Linked DNA regions of Styela clava. The protein of the gene in region 3 purifies or fractionates together with the protein of the main gene of each other region. This does not show direct contact. Links are inferred from orthologs where the notes say so. Each region holds a gene or a part of one and is shown on either strand. Other genes may lie near its edges.

What was found. The genes of interacting proteins can lie anywhere in the genome.
Region 1: the proteins of rapamycin-insensitive companion of mTOR-like (region 3) and target of rapamycin complex subunit lst8-like purify together in Homo sapiens (affinity purification with western blotting; 14 studies listed by BioGRID and IntAct, with this or other methods). This does not show direct contact. The link is inferred for Styela clava from reciprocal best matches to the Homo sapiens genes RICTOR and MLST8.
Region 2: the proteins of rapamycin-insensitive companion of mTOR-like (region 3) and F-box/WD repeat-containing protein 7-like purify together in Homo sapiens (affinity purification with western blotting; 3 studies listed by BioGRID, with this or other methods). This does not show direct contact. The link is inferred for Styela clava from reciprocal best matches to the Homo sapiens genes RICTOR and FBXW7.

The regions. Positions count from the first base shown.
Region 1 is NC_135263.1:19,739,955-19,747,291, forward strand, and holds the start of target of rapamycin complex subunit lst8-like, read right to left. Parts: upstream 3,011-7,337; coding exon 2,840-3,010; intron 2,519-2,839; coding exon 2,451-2,518; intron 2,269-2,450; coding exon 2,122-2,268; intron 1,840-2,121; coding exon 1,689-1,839; intron 1,420-1,688; coding exon 1,341-1,419; intron 139-1,340; coding exon 12-138; intron 1-11. Other genes in the region: large ribosomal subunit protein mL66-like, read right to left, coding at 3,641-4,216.
Region 2 is NC_135263.1:11,561,516-11,569,486, forward strand, and holds the start of F-box/WD repeat-containing protein 7-like, read right to left. Parts: upstream 3,011-7,971; 5' UTR 2,819-3,010; coding exon 2,705-2,818; intron 2,025-2,704; coding exon 1,832-2,024; intron 1-1,831. Other genes in the region: uncharacterized protein LOC120340979, read right to left, coding at 4,860-4,876, 5,189-5,255, 5,663-7,158. UniProt on the Homo sapiens protein: Substrate recognition component of a SCF (SKP1-CUL1-F-box protein) E3 ubiquitin-protein ligase complex which mediates the ubiquitination and subsequent proteasomal degradation of target proteins.
Region 3 is NC_135255.1:15,846,252-15,854,258, forward strand, and holds the start of rapamycin-insensitive companion of mTOR-like, read right to left. Parts: upstream 3,025-8,007; 5' UTR 2,991-3,024; coding exon 1-2,990. UniProt on the Homo sapiens protein: Component of the mechanistic target of rapamycin complex 2 (mTORC2), which transduces signals from growth factors to pathways involved in proliferation, cytoskeletal organization, lipogenesis and anabolic output.

The sequences.
Region 1 (7,337 bases), on a different chromosome or scaffold from region 3:
AAAATACTCACACTGAATCGGGACTAAATTTGCACTTCAATCCATATTTTTTGTGTGCATCGAGTTTTCTTCGAGGATTGAGTTGCATTATACCTTCCAATGTTTTAGCTGGAGAAACGCTCCAAACAAAGCAAGTTCCTAAAGGTAGAATACCATTACATTTGATATCCAAACAATATTTGGAGAACTACAATATTGGTTAATGGTTATTGAAATGTAGCTCCCATAGTTTTTATACTATCTCAGAGATAATCAAAAAGCCCCAACAACCCCATCACCAATCATATTAACAGCAAAGGTCATACGATAGAGCAGACATGGACAAACTACGATCCGCAGGCCAAATCCGGCTCGTTGGGTAATTCAATCTGGCCCGCCTGATGCTGCCACAACCGAACTGTAACCAAATTTGATGTTTTAGTTAAAAAAGTTCAAGGACTTTGTTGAGATTGCAAATTAAAGTTAGTTTTGGCCCGAGGCTTATTGTTTTCCACTTTTGCTTTGCAACACTGTAAATATTGTTCATAAAATGTAACTTTTTATGTCACACCTACATGGCCCGCGAGACTAGGTAGGCGAAGCTTTTGGCCCCTGGTTCAAAAATCTTGCCCACCCCTGCGATATGGTACTATAGACATCTTAAATACTCTTGGCATTGATGCACTCATTTTTCAAAATTTATTATAACACCTTGACTCGAGTATTATGTAATTTATCTTTACAGAAATATTTTGTTTTGTCTGAAGAAGATAGACCATGATCAAGAGAAAGCTCACAAATATACAGGCTACTTTGTAGAGATTACGTTAATGCTTATTTGTTTAAAAATATGATTATTTAGATAAGATTGTCGGAAGCAACATTGCACTTCATATAGACTTTTATGTCAATAGCATCGATTTGCAGGCTAGCAGTATTGCAATTCGCATTCCTATTTTAAAACAAAAATGAATTCAGGTGGTACTGGTATCATTTACTACTGTAATTACATTTTTAGTTGCTCGTACAAATATGTTATATTGAGACTTGCCAACAACAAAAGGTATTCCTGTAGTGTGTGTGTACCAAGGTAGAGTTAGGCCATAATTTTATTCTGATTTTCCCCATTTTAGTTCTATCAGAGTTCGGAGACTGTCGGTGTTAGCCAAGAGAATATACCCCCAGCCCATAGGTTCCAATCCCTTTACACAACTCGATGTAAAGTAGGTGAACAAAATTAGTTACCTCCATATTGATACACACACTTCTGGAGCGCTCAACAAATTCCTAAGCACACCACAACCAACTCAAAGATTCAGCTCAAAGCAACACCGACTACCCACGTATAAATATAGACTCACCATGTGTGTTCACTGCAGCGAGATAACTTGCATCAGGATCAATATCAACACAGTTAATACTAACATTAACTTCAGGTATCTAAATCATAGAAGAAAAGTTGCATCATAAAACAGTAATATCATTTTATTTAGCGAGATGAAAAAACAAATACCGGTATGCGATGCAAAGTAATGGAAAATAATATTCGGACATCATACATTTTTGTTATGTACTCATTGAATGTAAATAATGAATTCTTGAAATGTTCAAAATGTATACAAATGATCCTAAAATCTGCTCTAATTTGAAAATATCAATATTCAATGATATCAGATTTAGCCAAAGTCCAAAAATGAATATCAGTGTACCAGTTGCTCTGTTTTGTCAGATCTAAGATCCCAAACATTTATACATCCTCCCTGGTCAGCAACAATCATTTCTGCTTGATTTGGATGAAGGCATATTGATGTTATCGCAGCATTTACTTGAAACATTCTATTGCATTGCATGTTGCGAGACCTATATATATATATATAAAATATCAGAAAACTGTTCTTGATACAGTCAACGGAACGGATTGAAATAAATAAATCTAAAACCAAATCCACGGAGAAGCTACCAAAACAAATATAACATTCACAGAGCGAATCAATAGTCCAGGAGCATCAGCAATAGGTTGGTTGAACAGGAGTAGAACCAGTGCATAACAACAAGAAAACTTACCATAGTTATAGTAAATGTTATCAAAAAGCTTGTAAATCCATGGATTCCTGGTAATGGGATGTCCAATGAGTTTCTTACCTCATGTCCCATATCCTAGCCATATGATCTTCTCCACCCGTGTACATCCATTTACCATCTTCTTGAAAACCAACTGCAGTGACGTTTTTGTTCAGTCCATCATAACATATTATTGGATTTTGATGAGAGGACTTAATGTCGTACATTCTGAATAAAAATTGTCAACCATTACAAAAATTAGAGTGGAGTTGCAAGCCGAAACAATGAAGGATGTTAAATCTTGAATTTAGAAGTATTCATTAATTTATGTAACTATTACACTTTCTGAAACTCTTTTAACTTCATTAAACTATTACGATTACAAAAAAAAACAATGCAATACCACTAACCTGACATGTTGGTATCCCGCAGCGGCTAGGTGTTTCTTATCTGGAGTAATCTGCATCGCATTCACTTGCTGATGTTTGCGTATAGTGAGAAAATAATACAAATTGAAATTATATATCTTATAAAATGTTTACTTCTAGTATTCAGCAATTCCATGAAAACCGTCATCCTGGTTCAAATTACCAACTGCATTATTAATAACTTGAGAGTCATGTATTGAGTCTAGCGGGTCTTTGATGAAGGAAGAAAATCTCAGCGGTCACGACTTGGGTCATCTCAGATCAGTCGAACATTCCCAACTTTGGAAATTTCAACTTGAACCCTGGATTAAATGAACAACGAATACCTATCTTTTGAGATTATTAAAACAAAAAATTTATAAAAAGGATACAGAGTCGGGATGCTGAACAGTCTTTGTACAAAACCCACTATGGGCTTGCCAGAATCTGATTGTGTGATCATAACTACCAGTTGCCAAAATTACTTGATCTATTCCACCAGGATCACCAGACATTATGATGCTATAATCAAGGCTATAAAAAGGAAAAAGGGTGAAGTCCATTCAATTACTTGTAACAAACTGAAGCATATTCCCTGGAGTATTAAGATTCATATTGGGTTCAACTGACATAGAATGGTAAAATAATATTTCACGCCAACAAAGATGTATACCTTCTACAAAGTAAACTTACTGCAATTAACACTGGAGCACCACAATTGCAAGGCTAGACACAAAAAATTAGAGAACTATAAATTTGAACTGATGTAGTACACATGTCATAGTCATTGTTTTTCATAATTGACACTAAATGTCGTTACACATGCGGTAGAATTGTTTATGAGTCACATTCAAGTTCATAAACTTTCTTTATTAGATACATCTGTATTTTGTACATATTGCTAAACCTTGTATAAGCACCATGAAACTACAACACCATTATAATTTATCAACAGTTATCGATAAAAAAAGTCTTACTTTTAGCAGCATTCAACCCCTGACAGCCTGAGCTTAATATTGAGAATTGCACACTTCAAAATAATGAAATTTAACAAAGATGATACGTGCCCTTTGAATCCCAAGACATGAACAAGTTCTGGAACTAGTTTCCAAAACTTTTGCATTAAACTAACTTTATTAAATAGCATTGTCGTGCTCAATACGCCTATCATACAAATATACAAAAAGTCATCCCTAGTGACCAGTCCGTATTCTTCGGTTACTTATTGTTGGTGCATCCTGAGCTGCAACTGGATCCCCAACTTTATAATATCTTCTCTTCCAAACAGGTCCAGGTCTTTTCACAGCAGTTTGTGAACCAATGGGAAAGTTAGTGAGATAACAATTCAGCTTTGGTATTTCTTTTCCCAAATGATCTATTCGAGGTTCTTCACCAGGTAATAGGTTGGCACGTTGTGCCATTTTAATAGCTTTTGTTACTTTTAGGTGTTCTCGTAAACATAGTCCAGTGATAGAACGAGGAATCACATCTCCATTATTTGTCATGAACTGATTGAGTATTAATACATCTTCATATGTAACCTGAATTCCTCGACTACGTATTGGACATGTATCTTCTGGATTATCTCTATCAACAAACTTAGAATTGTCATCTTCGTACATTTTACCTTCAATTGTTGTTACATTATCTTCCTCTTTTATCTTAATCTCTCTGTATCCTCTAGTAGGCAAGATTCCAACAAGATTTAACAAACTCGATAAAGGTTGGAAGCCTAATTTATTAATATTTTTAAACATAAAATGTGCCATCTAAAGGAAGGAAGAACAAATAATTTTAAAACAAATATATTTTTAGTTACGAGTATAGATTCCATTTATAATTAATATCTTGGAAGTTGGCGCATCGTACAGAGTGTTGGAAATATGCTTGCTATCGCATCGTTAATTACCCATTTAGCAGTTTGCCATCCAGCCATCACTGCATCATGACAAATTTGAAGTCTTATAGGTATAAGTTTATTTCGACACTTCAACTTCAATAATCTAATCAACAATGAATCATAAATTTGATAACCGCATGAAACACTCGCACATAGGCTTACCTTGTACAAACCCCAGCAAAACAGAAAATAAAAAACACAATTGTTTCAATCACCAGTTGTGGACATAGGCTGGTTCTCAACCTTTTTTCTTTTGTGGCCCATTTTCATTGCGAAAAATTTTGTGGCCATTAAGTCAGTGTTTCAGTATAAGAGAAAAAAATTCTTTCCGCAAAAAACCAACAATTCCACCTTAATATTTAGAATGAAAATTTCCACCCTGTAGCAAAAATCACCATCAGACCAATTTCCAATAGGTTTGTGGCCTATCTAAAAATGTTTCTGTGGCCCAGAATTTTACCTTGAAAATTCAAATTAATTGAACAGTTTTTATCAAAATAATGCTTTAATATAATTTACATCTAGTAACTATTTTTTGATCTTTATCGTAGAACCGTTTATTTCACAAAATATAGAGATAATTTTATGTATCAGTAATTTATTGGCGGTCTTACTACTTACTGAATACAGCGCGAAACACCGCAAAGAGCGCAAAACAGAGGGAAACAGCGCAAAACAGTGGGGAAACAGCGCAAAACAGAGGAAAACAGTGTGAAGCAGAAAAAAATTTTGCAATGAGTTCGAGGCACCTTGTTTTTAGTTGAAGTATCACGGCAGCAAATTAAAAACACAAACCAGCGTATGTAGCCAGTAATGCAGTAATGGCAGGTCTGCCCCTGCTGGTGACACATTTTGGGTACCATAATTTTGAACATTTTCCATATGGATATGGTTGGCTTTAGGGTTAGGGTTAGATCAAAAGGGACCTCCAGAGGTATGTGCACCAAGATGGCGCACAACCTGAAGATAGTATGTGTGTGTGTGTGTGGCGGATTCAGGTTGTGCGACATATTGCTGCACATACTTCTGGAGCACCAAAAAGGTAGATAAAATTTCGCATGATGACCTATAATCCGGTACATAACCTTGTAAATATACCGGAAACAGCGCCACAAAACCATGGCGAGAGGCGTCGTGGTTCTTTCGTGACAGGAGGTGGTAATGACTGCGCCTCCTGTTTTCCGCTGTTTCCCTCTGTTTTGCGCTGGTTTCCTTCTGTTTCGCGCTCTTTGCGGTGTTTCGCGCTGTATTCAGTAAGTAGTAAGACCCATTTATTGGTACCGTAATTGAGCCATGCTTACCCACCTCTCGCGACCAGCGTGTATTACAGTACGGAAAAAATCAAAAAAGATTCCAATATGCTGTGAAATAACAACCTTATTCCTATACCCTTGTCTGAAATCAATACCCAAGAATGAAAAACCTCACTTACACCCTTTGTAACCAATTTATTTCCATATCCTACTTTACTTAATTATAGTAATTTTTCTGTTACCGGTAACTTTAATTTGGCAATAATAGGCTCTAATTTGGAGAATGAAATGGTCTCGCCCACCTCTTCATGCACCCAATTCTGGCAACTTTGGTTGGGCAACTTGGCATTTGACTCCAACTATAATCAGCTTGGCAATATGTTTTCAATAGAATCTTCCTTTTATATTTTAATTAACGATTAGAAGATCGATCAATTTGGCAATGGCAACCATTACAAAAATATCAATATAGTGTGGCAAATAATTTTTTTTATTTTCTAGTATTTATTTATTTATTTTTTGTTTACTGTACAGTATACCCTAAATTTATCGCGTTTTATTCTTATTTAAATAACTTCTCAGTGGTTGTGTGTGTGTGGCTGGTGGGTGCATGTGAGCGTGTGTGAAATAACTTAATAATTTTAGGTGAGTAAACACGTACCACTTCCTCTTGGCAAAACCTTCCATCTTATATTTTGTACTTTATAAACCTTATCTTAGGTTTCGTTTGCTCCCCTGATTCCATAATCAGTTTTTATTTATTTGTTCTTATTTGTCAAATGTATTGTTATGCTGATTATGGAGTCGAAATAAACTTTTTTACGTTTTATTAAATCTTGAGTTTGTTAAAGTTTCTTAAATTCAACTTACCGGTTTCATCCAATCTACTTGGTTGATTAGCGTACGTATCTTACCTGTAGTGTACACGGCGTACCGATAGCTTTCGTATTTCACGCAATTTAACATTTATTTACTCCCAATCCTTCCTCAATGCCCTTGCGCTAGTGGATCCGTATGCGTATAATGCAAGAATGCTGTAGTGGGAATAAAATACCATACTATGCAATTCAAGAGTCCTGTTGCACATTAACACAAAGGTATTTCTGTAACGTTTCGTCTGGCCAAAATCGGACTTCTTCAGACAAGCAGTTTACAACAATACCAAGAAACTTGTCTACAACAATAATACATCAATCAGCTACACCAGGGGTCTCCAGACTCCAACTCAAAATATGTCGCGGGCCACATTTTGAAATTTATTGACGACGCGGGCCGCAAACTAATAAATTATATACAAAAATAAGCAAATTAAATCTGAATATATTAGTTGAAATTAACCTTGAATCCAACGACTAACCAACGACTAACATACCGCTTGAATCTTACACCATTTTGTAGCGGTGAGACGCTCGATGTTCAGCCTTATTTTGCGTTGGTTTGCTGGTCTTTAGACAGCATACAAACTCTCGTCCGTTAGTCGTGTGCGAAAGGCTGATTTGTTAACTCTCATTGTTAAAAAATTATTTCACAAGCCTTCAACATACACTCTTTAATAAAGCTTCACTCAACGAAAGAACGCGACGATTTCGCAATCACCTCGCTTATGGCAAATTTTTCTTTCGTCGAATCTTCACAAGTTTTGTTTATGTCTGGGAAAAATTTCTCTGTTTCATCAGTGAAAATTTTATTTGCGATACCTTTTTCTTGTGTAGTGATCCATAAGTTTATAATAATCTA
Region 2 (7,971 bases), on a different chromosome or scaffold from region 3:
GATGAACATTCCCAATGGGATTATTTGTTAAAATTCAACGCCTTTTATGATGTTGCTGCAATGAACTGATCTTTAATTTGTTCAAACGAAAGGTTCAAGAATGCTATGTAACACAAGCTAAGTGGAACTATTGTATATCAATGACCATGTTTTTCGGTCAATTTGAACATTTATACATTAAAAGCAGAAATAGGGATTTTCAATTATTAACCACGTATATATGTGCAATATAAATCAAAATGGCCAAAAAAGTAATAGCTACCGGCCAATGATCAATCTTTACCCAACCATTTATCATTTTTAATATATTTATGGAAAAAAAACTTGAGACTTGGTAATTAAAGGAAACCTTATAAGCGATGCAAAAACGAATTTGCATATTGTTGTAATGCTGTTTACATAATTTTGATTTAAATTACATGAGTTGTATAATGAACAAAACCTGAATATTCATATTTGAATGGATAATAACAAAATTTATCATAATTTTCTCAAATTCACCAGATAGAATCAGACTTGGCCACGGCCAACCTCCCAAAATAATTCGAACAAAACCTAAATATTCATATTCATCAGATAGAATCGGACTTTGCCAAATTTCGAAATAGAACACATTCTTGTACAGTGATAATTCTGTAGTGGAACATAATTCGTTCAGGAGTGATGTTCGAATATCGATTTGTTCGAGTATCGAAAATTTTTTGCCATAAGAAACAATGGTAATTATTTTTAATCGTTCTTACGCATTCCGAAATACCAAAAATATTAACAAAACGAACGTAGAACAATATTTATTTAAATGTGTACAAAATAAGAATTAAACAAAAAATTTTGTATCAGTTAATATACTGGGGCTCTATAGGGTTCGTTTTTTGTATGCGATGACGTCATCAAAAATTGAGCGCACCTTGAGTAGGTTCCGCTTTCACGATAGTCGTGAAGATTGCCTTACCGGGTGTTTATCGTGACAGATACTGTACATACACATACTACTTCATTATGGCCTTAGTGCCCATATATTTGAGCATTGCTCTCTTGTTAAATGGTCAAGAGGCAGCTGAAATGCGTGTTCGGGTGACGTCATCTCACTCGGAGGTGCGATCGGTGTTCGGGCACTGAGTTTCCGTTTGATATCCAGGAATTTTTGACTAGATATTTTTGCTCGGCAACTGAATTATTCAAGTATCGACTCGTTCGATTCCAAGGTATGGATGTAATTCCAATATCAGAATGCATCCTAGGGCAGAGGGATGGACAAAGTTTTTGATGCAGAGGGCCGCATTGAGAAATGTACCATATATTTACCTTCAGTTAAAATTTAATACAGCTGCCATTGTTGAAACAGGAATAAACAAAAAAAATTAACATTTTTTTTAACTATTCATAGTTTGGATATTCCAAAAAAGCACATCTAAATTTTGTATATATTAGTGAAAAATTACTCCAAGAGCAAGCGCGCCGTACAAAATGCTTTGGCATGTCGAATGTGACCCACAGGCCGTTAACTGTCCATCCCTTCTCAGGATGTGGATGGAATTTCTAGGACTTGATGTTTGAGCACACAGAATGACAAATTGGGAAAATACCAAAAAAAAAATTTTTTGGGTTGATTTACAATGTAACTCATTTTTACATTTACATACTCATTTACCAACAACTCATTTTGTTCCTGAAATGTCCAATATCAATAGAAATAATGTAATAAAATTATGTCGAAGAGAAACAATTCGGAATTAATTTAGGATAATATTGAATGTTGTGAAATTCAGGTTTAAAGTCGAATAAAGTTTGAGATTGAAAGTTTTGAAAGACTTCAATAATCATACTGTACCTGCTAACATCAACTCCGATACGGATAAATCTCCTTCCTCAAGGGGTTCGTCATCACTTAGCTCGTGTAAAGCCTTGATTTCGCTCGCTCTACTTGATACACAGAGTAATACACCTTGATTTCTTTCTAGAATACATTGTGTGATTCCAGGAACATCAGTCAATTCACACAACTTCTTGAACTTTCCAACAGTCTAATACAAAAATAAAAGATCATATTTCTGTCACAATGTTAAAAATTTACTATAGCGGTATAAGAATTGATCAATTTTTACAATCGAAACAAAAAAGGGACAAAGGCTATCGAAGTGATTTGATTTTTAATCGCTGAAAAATGAGTAGGAATGGAAATGGTTGGGTGAATTGTTTTGGCGCTTCATGTAGCCAAATCTTTCTTGCATTTGCTTGGTCACACAATTCTCAGAAAAAGACAATGACTTTGATGCAAGCTGGCTTGCAATCAAATCACATTTTAAAATTTGTCACTCGGTATGAGACATAATTTTTTAAATAAAATGGTTAGGCTAACCAATTTAACGCAGGCACACTTGCGTGGACTTGAAGCATGTTTGACTAATTCTAGATATAGCTGACACTGACAGTATACTCAGACTGAAGAAAACTTCGACATTTTATTTAGATTTAAAACATTCTAAATTCATACATACTATAGCAATTTTATAAAGGTTGAATTATCATAAAACCACAAAAGCTTCGAGGTTTATGGTTAAATCTGCAATATATAAAATATATTTTTCATATTACTATTGAAAATTTTTTGTACCATTAATAGTGTAATAATTTTGTTATTAATCAGCCATTCTTATTCCAGTATTCATGTGATTTATATTTTAATAAATACAGAAATACTCACTGTTCTGAATCGAACAATAGCTCGAGCTTTAGATCGTCCAACTCCCTTCAACCTAGTCACAAATTCATCGACTGACGCAGTATTAATATCGACAGCTTCCTCATCGAACTCCATTAAGTTGAGTTGTCAGAAAGTTGGTTCAGTGGTTAGAATCAAGGTCTAAACACAATTAGTTTCCAAAGTGGTACATTTCTTTTAGTTACAGACGTCAATAGCAGAGAACTGTTCAAATTACTGTATTTATGGAGAAGTTTTAGGATTGGCACTATCAGACTATACTGCAGTAATGGTCTGAAAATAGATGCAAACACTTTTGAGTTAAACTAGTCCAATTAAAATTAATACATTTGTAAAGCCATGGAAGTTTTAATAAATGAAAACAATACCGGAATAATGCTGACATTCAGATTACCTATAACCCAGGTAACCTAAATTTTATCAGGCTGTTCTGCAAAAGACTGAAATCTTTTTAGGAGGTGATTTGGTAAAAACATTGTGCTGTTGTGAATTGGATTTATCTAGATGTTAATTGGAATAAAAACCGTAGACTAATCCCCTCCTACTGAACTAAATCGCGCCATCACACCAGTCAAAATTTCTAAATCTCTGATTCCAGACTGCTGATGTTGTCTAAGTTTTTATGTAAAGTCAAGTGTATTTTTTCCAACTGGTCAGTAAATAAATAACCTATAGGTAGTCTATATCCGTGAAAATGTGCCTATTCACAGATTTAACAGACGTGAAACTCTGTAACAGCACTCACCATACAGATGATAACATCACTACACCAAGCAATCACACAAATCAACAAGTGAATAAAATCAGACACCTATTTCAGGTCTCGGTGCAGTGGTGGCGAACTGCTTGACCAATGCTCATCCTTACTGCCATCTACAGGACACGCTACTATATTGCAGAAACGGTGGGATTACATACATTACGGATGTCTGTTGTAAAGGCTATTCATGTTCTATCAAAAATATCACCGATGCACATCTAAAACGGTCGACCAGAGATGAACTTTAGCTGGGATATATATGCCTGAAATGTATTGTTTGGGACTCCCACCACCAGTGAGGACTTCGATGCTTCCACCGACCCGCGCTTCACATTTTGAATATAACCCCTACAGTAGAATGTTTATAATAGAAAATCCACAAGCCGTGGTATGCATGAAGTTAAGAGACATCTTTTCCTCGTGGTCAACACGAAAATCAGATCTTAAAATAGCAAACCTGTCTCAAATAGTCATATTTATTTTTATGCTATACATCAGCAGACACAAGCTGAACCAGTGTAAAGACGTTTTCACTTTACACCATTCCTTAACTAAATTATATAAACACATCAGAATAGACAATGTTTTATTGCAAAATAACTAGCAGCTTTAATCTGAAGATAACATTATTTCAAGACAGAAAAGTATTCCTTTCCAAACTTTCCTCAAGTCAAAAAGCTCAAAATTGAGTAGCACCAGTTTACGATTGAATATGATCACTTCACTTTCGGACAGAGCAGTGTACCAAGTAAATTTCTACACTTTGAATAGATAGAAATGACTAGAATGCATTATTGGATTATCAAATTGCCTTGTAAAGTTTAAATAATAGGCAAGAGATCAGCCAGCATCAATATTATCAAATTGCTATACCTAGACTGCTGAAAAAACTATACTTTTTATCTTTAATTGCAACATAGATGAAAGTATATTTTTATACTCAAGGAAGCAAAGACTTTTTCGACAAACTGCAAAATATTCATTTCATTTTGTGTGTAAACATTTGAGAGAGTGTTAACATTCAGAAAAAGATTGGAAAGCAGAACATATTCCTTTATTCATATTTATTAATGGAGAATGAATAATGACCTTGTAAAAAATATAAAATGACCAGACGATGATAACACACAATGTGAAAAGATACAAAATGAGTTGTTGATGTCAGTTTTAAACTGGTTAAAGCAGACTACTAGGTACGAGAACCCATAAAATTCCCTATAATTTCAAACTTCAGGTGAAATATCATGGTGTACATAAAAAAATTACACATGAAATGCTGAAAAACAGGTCAGAAACTGCAGATATGATTCTTTGAACTCTCCACACAACCAGATAGTTGATGTATAATGAATGACTATAAAAAACATGCCCACTCTCTCATCTGTTCTGGTTTGCTGAAACAAATGAAGCTCACTGTTAAGATTGAAATTGTTTACTCGGTTCGTGACACTTTGGATTATTTGATAGAGTAATGTGAAATACTAAACGCCTAATTACCAAGCTAGCCAACATTAATTTGATAGCTCAAGTCAGACACTCCAGATATTTCATTTAACGTAAATTATTGAAAATTGGTACGTAGTTGAACCCCAGAAATTAATTCAAAATAAAAGAATTTGTATTGCATGTTCCTTTACATCTTAGACTCGTACTCCTGTATGAGTACCATTTACCGTACCAAAACGATGGATTCCTAGAATACCTACCTTTAATATTCAGATTCAATGCTGCTTGCTTAACTGAATCGTTCCCCTGAATATCAACAAGGTTGACCTAAAATTGTAGTGGATAAGTTATATGTTAACACTTGAAGTTTATTTTAAAGTACAATTAAGAGGAATTAGATTGGGGGCTGGTAACTAGATTGAATATGAGCTTCAGAAGCAAAGATGCATTAATATATATTATTTTAAATCAAGTTTCAAATTCTTACCAGAGCATTATGCTGGTATAATCAATAGAAGTAGAACTCAAAATTTTACTACTGTTACCTTCGTTAGATCTATCAGGCGTGTGTCATTATGTCTAAATCAACACACTTATTCTATGAAACTTAACTTTGTAAAACATTGAAACTGGGATATCATAATTATTGAAATGTTTAGGTATTTTAAATTGATGGATATACAAATTAATACACACAGTATTCTTTAAACAGAAAATTAATTTAGAAAACTTACCAATGGAAATGATTTTGAAAACTGTGGGTCAGTCATTGAATAATTTTCTGGAAAATTTCGAGCAGAACTGACTGGCATTGTTTTGAGCTTCGATGCAGCAGAATTAGAAAGGTTTGACGAAGACGAGTAAGCAGTAGAAAACGAGTTTGTGTTTGGATTGAAAGAGCTAGCCATTGACGAAAGTAACATTGGATTGAACCCACCACGGATTGATTCCAATTTAATATTAGACGCACCAGATGGTGAATATTGAAGTTTGGGTATTGGAACAGAACAAGGAGTTGAGGAACTCCGTTTCGTATTTTGCGGAAAAGTAGGAGACATTGGTGGAACGTTATGTATGTTTGCTAAATTATCTATGGCTGATTGTGCAATTTTAAAATTTGGGGTATTGGGAGACACAGTGGATTTCTCAATAGAGTGGTGCTGGTTAGAACGCGATCGCTGGCCAGAAAAGTTTGAACTAGATATAGACGGCACAGCAAAGTTTGGTATCGGTCTCATTGTGAGATTTTTTATGGCATGCTTATCATCGAATGTCACAGAATACACAGGCGCTGTTGACGTTGGTGGACATACTTTCTGCTTTGCTATTGAGGGCACTTTGTCAGGTTTCGATATTTTAGGGGGTGTGGGATTTTGAGAAGACCAAGAAGGCCCAATTGCTGTAGCTACACGTTTAGTACCAACATCTAATTTTGGGAAGCCACCCTTTGAAGCACTGCTGGGCGTTACAGCAGCGGATGAAATCTTAAATTTGAGTTTTTCGTCTTGTTTGGAGTTCTTAACACCTTTAGGCAAAACGTCATTAGGACTGAGACCCAATATTTTTGAAATAGCATCATAGTTTGATAAACCAGGGGATCCGTGGTAAACTGGATTTGCATGTGCCAGTTGGTTTTGATCCATCATAAATTTGATTATATCAGATGCATAACTTTCCATAGCCTGTGAGCTCATCGCAAGTGGAACATCAACAGCAGAGCTAAATGAGGAATCAAACGAACGATTGAAAGTCTTATCAGAGTATAATTTTTTATCAACCTTCTTAGTTGAACCAGGATTTAACATTGTTGCTGGAGGCATTTTTGTCTTCACAATTGAGCTTGTATTAGAGGCTTTCCAGCTGCTAGTGGAGACTTTTTCATTTGAAGGGGGTGCCTTCTTTTGTGTAGAGAGTGGACTTGAGGTAGGAGAATTTTCACTTTCTATCGACGCTACTAATTCAAAACCACCTCCTGATGTCAAATTTCCAATTTTTATTTTATCATTTGTGCTATATGTTGTTGAGTTGCGGGAACTAACAGCATTAACCGATGGTTTATAATTTTTCGAGTCATTTGTTTCATAAATAAGCTGCTTCTTGAATGACTTAGCAGTTGTGTCACTCTGTCCAGCAGAGTTATTTAACGTTCCGACATATTTTTGTCCAGAAGCGATATCAGCAGCTTTATTTGAGTCTTTGGCAGAACCAAGTACCTTTTTATAACTTCCAGCTAGAATAGAGGATAAAAGTAGAGAGTAAAAATTACGTTAAAATGAACCAAATGACCAAAGTTCAGAACAAATCATTTTTAGTTTATTGTAGAAATTAGCATTGCTGAAAAATAACATAGCATTTATGAGCAAATTAGCTGTGAGGAAATTGAGGCCACAATTTGCTCAATTCATTATGTGATTCAAAGTGAATTAAATAAAAACCAATATGAAATCATCATATTATTTAAAAACTAAATGATTGCATGAATAATAAAATTGAACCGAAATTCTTCAACTCTAAAATTCATCAGACATAATATTACACATGTTGTGGTTCACATAAAGCCAGTGTGTGCATTTGCACCAAGAACTAATAAGTGCTAGAAATTTGAACTTAGGGACTATTATATATAATGGTGAGTCACCAGTAACACATAAGAGGGCTAATAAAACATTCAAATCTAATATGAAAAAGCAAACCCCCATGACATAGACTGATTTCGCATGTGAAATTAGATTGCTCTCAATTTTAGTAGTTTCGAGAAAACAAAATTTTTCTCCCTCAGGGCATTTGTCAATATAAAAAAATAGGCAATCTTTTAGACGAGGAGATACACAAATCAACTAATATCAATCACAGTAAACTGTCTTACTATCTAACACATGGATTGGTTTAGTCTGCAGTAAACTTGACTTCTTTTTTATTCGATCCTTTCGCTTCAAACGATCTTTACGATGCGACACAATCATTGGCGAAACTGCTCCCTCATTGCTACTATGAATTAAAGGCTGGGGTTTGGTTATGATGCTCCCTGCTGACTTTTGAGTAC
Region 3 (8,007 bases):
TTTTGGTAAGAAGATAAATTAAATTCAAAGTTATCTACATCTCCACAAAAGGCTTCATGGATGTGCAAACCATCCTGTAATTTTTGAACTAATCTTGGAACAATATTCCTTTTTTCAAGTAATTCGCATCCTCTTTCATGTTGGCTCAACTCTCCATATAAATGTGAAGGAACATGAACAGGCTGGACAACTTTCTTAATTCCTGATCGTCGCACAAACCCACCTTGTTGAGTAGGTTTTTCATAGCATGTTAGTGAGATATTCAACAGTTCTTCTACTCTTGATACATAGAGATCATTGGCAGAATCCCACCATCGGTCCAACTCTCTCAACAGATATTTATTTGCAGAAAGATACTCAAAACCCAGCGGATGAGACGCAAAACGACAAATTAGCAGCGCTCCTTTTTCACCAAGATGTAGCAAACCGGGACGAAGACCAACAACAACGTTCAAGTATTCATGATCAGCACAAGCCTCATCAAGAACATCAAGTGCCTCAGTGGCAACAGTTTGGCTCGAGTCATAAAGTTGTGTTATTAGTAAATGAACCCCCCAATTGATAAATCCAGGCATTTTAGCTCTAAGTAATATTCGTAAATAGCAAGTTGCATACAATCTTGCTGCTTCATTACAAGTTACAAGAACTTGCTTCAAGAAAAAATAACTCAGACTTTCCCCAGAAAAAGATAAACTTGATATTACAAGTTTTAATAAATTTTCATGAATTTCATCATTTGCGAGTGACGTAAAAAAATCAAACACTCCATTCTTGCGCAAAATTTCACTACCATGGCGCCAAACTGTTAATGCTCCGAGCAAGAGAAAATAGTCCCTTGCACAACTTGATAAAAAAGTGCTTGTTGCCTTTTTCATACCGTCTGTATCTTTTATAAGTTTTGCCAAATATTCGACGATGCTTTTCAACAAAACAGATAATAGTTTCATTCCCTCTCCAGCTGTAGTTGATAAATATCTCACCAAATGGCAACCTGACTGCACATGAGGTTTATCTCCCTCGCCCTCTCTTGCTCTATCAACTTTGTAGAATTCTCCATCACTCGGAATATAAAAAGTAACAAGTCGTTTGATAAAATGGTATTCTGTATCATCAGAGCCAATATAATGAGATTCTCTTGTGTTAACCATCCTTTTAGACCACCCTTCAACAAGAAATGATGTTATTGCTTCCCAATCCCACTTAGTAAAGTCCCTTTCTGCAATGACTTGTGTGTCTTTTATTCTTGTGGATGTCTGTTCGCTAGCGAAGTTACGCACAATTGTAAGGGATCTGTTTCTACGAATTGATAATGTTGTCATGGGCTCATCCGAGTCTTCAACATGGTTTACAGTGAGGCGTCGCAGCGATATAGAAGAGCCAGGCCTAACTGGTGATTCCACTTGGGTTGCCTCTGTTGATGCTTTTTCAGCAGCTTTGACCCGAAGCAATAACTCATCTAAATATACTGTATGCATCGCTGGTCGATTTTTAAGAAAATTATGTATCTTTCTTAACCTACCTACAGCAACACTTGCACGTAAACGCTCTTCTTTACTCACACTCTGTGAAGTTGCTTGTTTCATTAGATCTGGCAAGCATTCTTTACAAGCAGATGAAGCACTAGTCATCCATAATTCCGCCGTTTGTGGCATAGAATGTAATTTATCAGAAAGGTTTAAAATTTTCCCTAGAAGTATACAAGCAATTATAGAGGCACATTCATCAGGACCCATAACCACTGAAACCAAACGCTGTATAATATTGGCTTCAATAAAAATTGAAAGCAGCACAGCCATATAACAATTAGTCAAGTCTAATCGTTCATTATTTAAGCTTGGAAGGAACCATTTTCCTTCACCAACAACAAAAATATTTGTAAGTTGCCAGCTTTCCTGAAAGATTCTGGGACCAATGCTTAGAAGTGATTCAATAAAATCTTCTGAAGCTTTAGGTTCATTTAAGCAGAAGATTTCAAATAATACAGACAAAGTAGCACGTTTAATACCTGCATCAGGAATCAGCAAAGTACTTAAAAAAGATTTTATCGCAGAAGTTTGACAAAGGTGAAGTAGACCAGACCATGAACGAAGAACAGAAACAACCGCCATCTTTGAAGCGGAAAACCTCATTTCTTTTTCTTCTCTTATTTGTGATTCTTCCACATCAGCATGTAGACGGTACATTACGTCAGTATAAGGAGCAAATATCGCATTAAAACTGAATGTCAATTTCAGTAGGTTCCGTGAGGATGGATGATTAAGCATTAATCCAAGGCTTATACACAATGACTCGTTAATCCTTCTGTACATATGGCATTCAAGAACTGCACGTAGCATTACAAGTAGTCCACCATTTTCAATGACTAATGAAGGTTCTAAAACAACAAGTTCACATAAAATCGCAAGACAGGTTCTATAGACACGATCTCTTTCCACAGCTCCATCAGCAGAAATTGACATAATACATAAAGCAAATGATTTAGGAATGATTGACATTTTCGTTTTTTCTCCAGCTTCTCTGCGTTCGATTCTTGCAATGAGAAGAATCTTTCGAATTAGACGCAAACATTGAATTCTCTCGACTTCATTGAAATGACTTATGTCTAGACATTTTATTATAAAACTATCCAAATGAAGTTTTGTCAAAAGTATTACTGAATGTGCATCATTAACTAAATAACGTAAAGCTCGAATGCACGCTGCTCGAACTTCCTTTACTTCAGAAACCAATGCTGGTTTTAGACAAATCATAATATCTTCAATTAAAAATTTAGAAGTCGCGTCTTCACGATTGCATAGTATTTTGATCAAATTGTTCAAATGTGGCAGAGTTTTTGCAGTGCTTCCTCTGCTTTGAATACTTCGAAAAATTGTCATAAGCAATAAATAAGGATCCTGTGTGATATCCAAAGGGATGGTATCTCCAGCATTTTCACGAATACGTCTAGTTCCGTTTCTTGATTGAAAGCTTCTATATCTTGAGCCACTCATTTTGATATTTACACGAAACTATACATATTGAAATAAATCTGTAAGTGATTTAGGAAAAATAAATCTTACGTTATAGTACTTGGTACTATATTAAATAAAATTAGATTTACTTCAAACCTAATCCAGTAATCAGATGCTGAAGTCACAATCTTAAAACAGGATTGGACAGTATTATTATAAATATAAGTTTATTTCGACTCGATAACCAGCATAATAGACGATAAATTAAAAATTTTAGATAAAACAAAAATATATAAAACTGATTATAGTCTAGAATCGGGAGAGCAAACTAAACCAGAATCTAGTGTAGTTTCGTACCTCAAGTGCCGGTACTTCTGTTCTAGCGGGCGTTGCATAACAAGGATAGGATAGGATTTACATATTTATCCCGTGCCAGAGAAAAGTCGATAAGACGGCTTAACCATATGGCGAGCCACGACCTCTCGTCTGATTACTATTCCAGTATTCCATGTCGGGTATGGGATCAGTTAGTAATTTGTTTGTTTCCGGAAGCATGGACTTGATGGTGGAGGAAGCCGTAACCGACCAGCGGTTACATGAACCACCCCACGGCGACGAGGAGTCCAGCAATCCTCTCGCACATGATCATCCCCGCATGGGATTCAAACCTGCGAACCCACAAAGGGTAATCATAGATGCAGTGGCGAGCGTATTCCTAACGCTTAGCATGAAGCGCCACACCGGCACACCGCCAAGCCCATATGCATATGTCAATCCTAACTCCCACCTGACAGCTTCATTTAAAAATTAAGTCACAGTCAGGTAATAAGGCATAATTGTTTTTATCTATTATTTTATCGTCTATTGCTGATTATGGAGTCGAAATAAACTTATACTTATACTTAAGGCCCTTCAAACTATAAAAATTGGGGTCTAGTATAGTTTAGTACCACAAGTACTTCCCGTGGGCGTAGCAATAATTTTGCATATGCTATTCCTAACCCCCACCTGACTATGCCATCCAAAAATTAGGTCACTACGAGTCTACGACCTCACCAACACGATCATCCGCATACTTAGGTGGGCCTTATTGCGCCACTGTGACGTCGAAATGACGTTTTTCGGTGACGTAGTTAGGTGGGGGTTAGGATTGACATATGCAAAAATTGTTGAGCCAGGTCAACTAGAAGTAGAGAAGTACGTGTGGTACTAAACTATACCAGACCCCTAAACTATACCGGTACGGTACCGTAAAACCGGCTAACTTCGGATGCCTTGTAACTTTGCGTCATATTGTGCTTCTGGTAGTTTCTCTAGAGAGTCCTTATATATCTGAATCTGTTATCATGATCAATCGCGCAATTTTATTTATTATTTGATTGAAAAATCACGTTTTAGCAAAAAATTTACACTCCGTTTTCGAGCGGCTCAAATCGTGACTTCTAACTGCGCTAACTTGGTCAAAACACCGTCATTCGATAGAGGGCGTTACCAATGTATTACAAAATTAGACTGATCGCGAGATGTCGCAGGAGACTCGAGAAACGATTAAAATTCAAATTGTCTTTTTACATCAAAATAATAGCATTTGACGCACACATTGAACCGACGTCACCCTGACGTCGCTCGCTTCGAAGACGACGTCATGTTGCGTCGCCGTTACAGATTTGACGCCAGACATTAGGGCGCCGACGAGTTGGCGTATATTTGAAATGACAGCGATATTTTGTTCGGTTGGATCAATATCGGCTAAAATATACACATCAACAGTTTCCTGTGGATCTTAAATTCATGCCGTCAAATGTTGGAAATGTAATTTAATTTATTAAAACGGCAATTAACGAAAAATATTTTCGTTCGATTTGTCGATTCAAATTCCACCATTTGGAACGGCAGCATGGTTTAAAATAGAAAAATTGTAAGCAGTCAAGAAATGTTGCGTGAATATAAAAATATATAATCAGCGATAAATAACAAGAATCATTGTTGCAACACTTGCAAGTGAGTTCCGTTTAATGAATTTAACTAAAGTAATATTTGCCAAATCGGTGTTTTGTCGTGATTTATGCACGGCGGACATTTTAATAGGTCAATTTAGTAAAGAATCCAGTCATATGCATGCTCAATAATATTTATCGTGCGACTATATACGATCTGGAATATACAAACGCTATCCAAACATTATCGGCTATTGCAAAATCGGCTATGATCGGTAGTACGATAAGAGAAAATGAAACTAGACATTTTATTATAAAAACAACTTGAAAGTGCCGCACCAAAAATCCTACGGTCATCATTATCACCGCCACTCGCGACGTGGATTGAACATCTGGAATTTTCGCAACCACGTAAAGCGTGTTTTGTCTTCGCCACGCAATTTTCGCTCGAGTTGCGGTCACGCACGGAGGTGATTCCCCCATCCGAAGTTAGATATTTAGTGGTGTAGTGAAAAATGAGACAATTAAGACAGAAAAAATGATCCGATCGGCGAGAAAATTAAATGCATGTGTAGAGATTGCATCAATGTAATATATTCCAAATATGACGCTAATTGGACAACAAACGGCAGAGATATTGATTGAAGTATAGTGAAACCATCCGAAGTTAGCCGGTTTTACGGTACTAGACCCCCAAATTTTCAATCGTTTACGGTATATCTCGACTAAATTGCGCCATACCGGTATTGTGCTTCTGGCAGTTTCTATAGTGAGTCCTTATATATCTAAATCTGTTATCATATTCGATCGCGCAGTTTAATTTATTTTTTGATTAAAAAAATCGCGTTGTAGCATCCTATCCTAATATTGACACTCCGTTTTCTAGCGGCTCAAATGCACCCAAAATGGTGACTTCTACTGATGAACTTCGTCAAAATACCGACATTCGATAGAGGGCGTTATCAATGTATATAGAAATTAGACTGATCGCGAGATGTCGTAGGAGAACCGATAAATAATTGAAATTCGATTAATTTTTTTATCACAATAATAGCATCTGACGCACACGCTGAACTTCGAAGACGACGTCATGTTGCGTCGCCGTTACAGATTTGATGCCAGACATTCGGGCGCTGACGAGTTGGCGTAGATTTGAAAGTAATAACGATATTCTGTTCGATTGGATCAATGTCGGCTAAAATAAAAGCATCAACAGTTTTTTGTTGATCGTAAATTCATGGCGTCAAGTGTTGGAAATGTGATTCAATTAAATTTTATTGAAAATGGCAATTAACGAAAAGCATATTCATTCGATTTGACGATTTCAAATTACTCCATTCGGAGCGGCAACATGGGTCAAAATAGAAAAATTGTGAGCAGTCGAGAAATATTGCGTAAATATAAAAATATATAACCAGCGATAAATAACAACAATCATTGTTGCAAATGAGTTCCGTTTCGTGAATTTAACGAAAGTAATTTAAATAAAGTTGCCAATTGCCAAATCGGTGTTTTGTCGTGATTTATGCACGACCGATATTTCAATGGGTCAATTTAATAGAGAATCCGGTCATGGGCATGCTTAATAATATATATCGTGCGACTATATATGGCAGGGGTGGGCACAATTTTTTAGTATAAGAGCCGCATGCTGCAAATCAGAACTTTAAATGAGCCGCAAAATTTGTGAATTTATTAATATTATTAAAATACCATGAACAGAAAAGAAATTTACACAAGAGTCTTATAACAATAAATAGATAAATAAGGCAGCTATGCTCAAATATATGCACAATTTGAGCTCATTTAATTTGTGTTTCCTTATTGCTGATTTACGAGGGTAGTCTCGTAAGAAGTTTTCATGATTCGTTCCATGGTGCCGTTTAACATTGCTGACTTTATTCTAATTATTCTGACTTAGTAGCTTATGGCAGATTAACCACAAGAGTTAATTCTCCTGACTGGTAAAAGCGTATTCTTTCTTCTTCCCACCCTGACTTGACAACTCTGTTTTCATCTTCGTATTTTCCTTTCTTAATTGAGGACATATCGCAGAGTAACTCAGACCAATATGATGCGCAACTCCGGCATTTTTGGCCGAAGATCGTATTCGATAGCACGCTCCAATGCACATACTTGACGAGACGAAAACGAGCGGATGTGTGTTGCTTTCAAGGCATAGCACGAATGGTGTTCGAGCCTGCTTCGACAATTGTTGTGGTTTTTAATGATATGTGGAAAATTGAAGGTAAAAAGAAATCGGAAAAAAGTAAGGTAAATACTATTGTTGTATATCACACCCGGGCATCGCACTGTTAAGTACATGCGGGAAAGCCAGCTTTTGTCAAATACTACGAAGTTTATAATTCAGTACGATACGTAGTTGGCCATCTGCCGAAATTGCATATTCACTTACCCCTTATGGTTTCAAATAGTTCATGCACCTCCTTTTAGATTTTTTTAATCAGTGAGGATATATACTTATTGCTGTAACATACTATTGCTCATTCACTTTTATTTGCGTATTGAATCAACGGGTTAACAAGTTCACCTAAAATTTCACTCATACCGGTCTATATTGTATAGTCTGATCTCTCAAGTATTTGGAGCCACGAATGCTTATAATTTTCTGACTAAACCCCTTTATTAGTTGGTTTATATACCAAATTCAGTAAAACATTTTTTACAAAAAACATAAGATATTGGGTTTATTAGCTTTTCCATTCTGAATCATATAGACTGCTTTATTTATTCTTAACGAAAATTAATACATCTCCTCTCCTACAGATGTGAAAGTTGTGGACAGACCTGTCTAAGCATTGTGAGACTCCTGCAGCACAAGAGGCAATAGCAATAATAGTGAGTATATCAATCAAGAAATTAGGCCGACATAAAACAAAACTTTCAACTATTCGTCTAACCTCAATTTCCTATTATTTATTCACAGGACAACTGTAGCTGAAGGGGAGATATCAGAAGTCTGGCGACATATCAGTGACAGTTTGATTCCAAGAAATATGATTAGAATACTCCATAAATGTTTGCAATAGAAGAACAACCTATGGAGGAATGCAAAGACATTTGACCCTCCGGTAAAGTTGTGTATGGCCCCTACATCC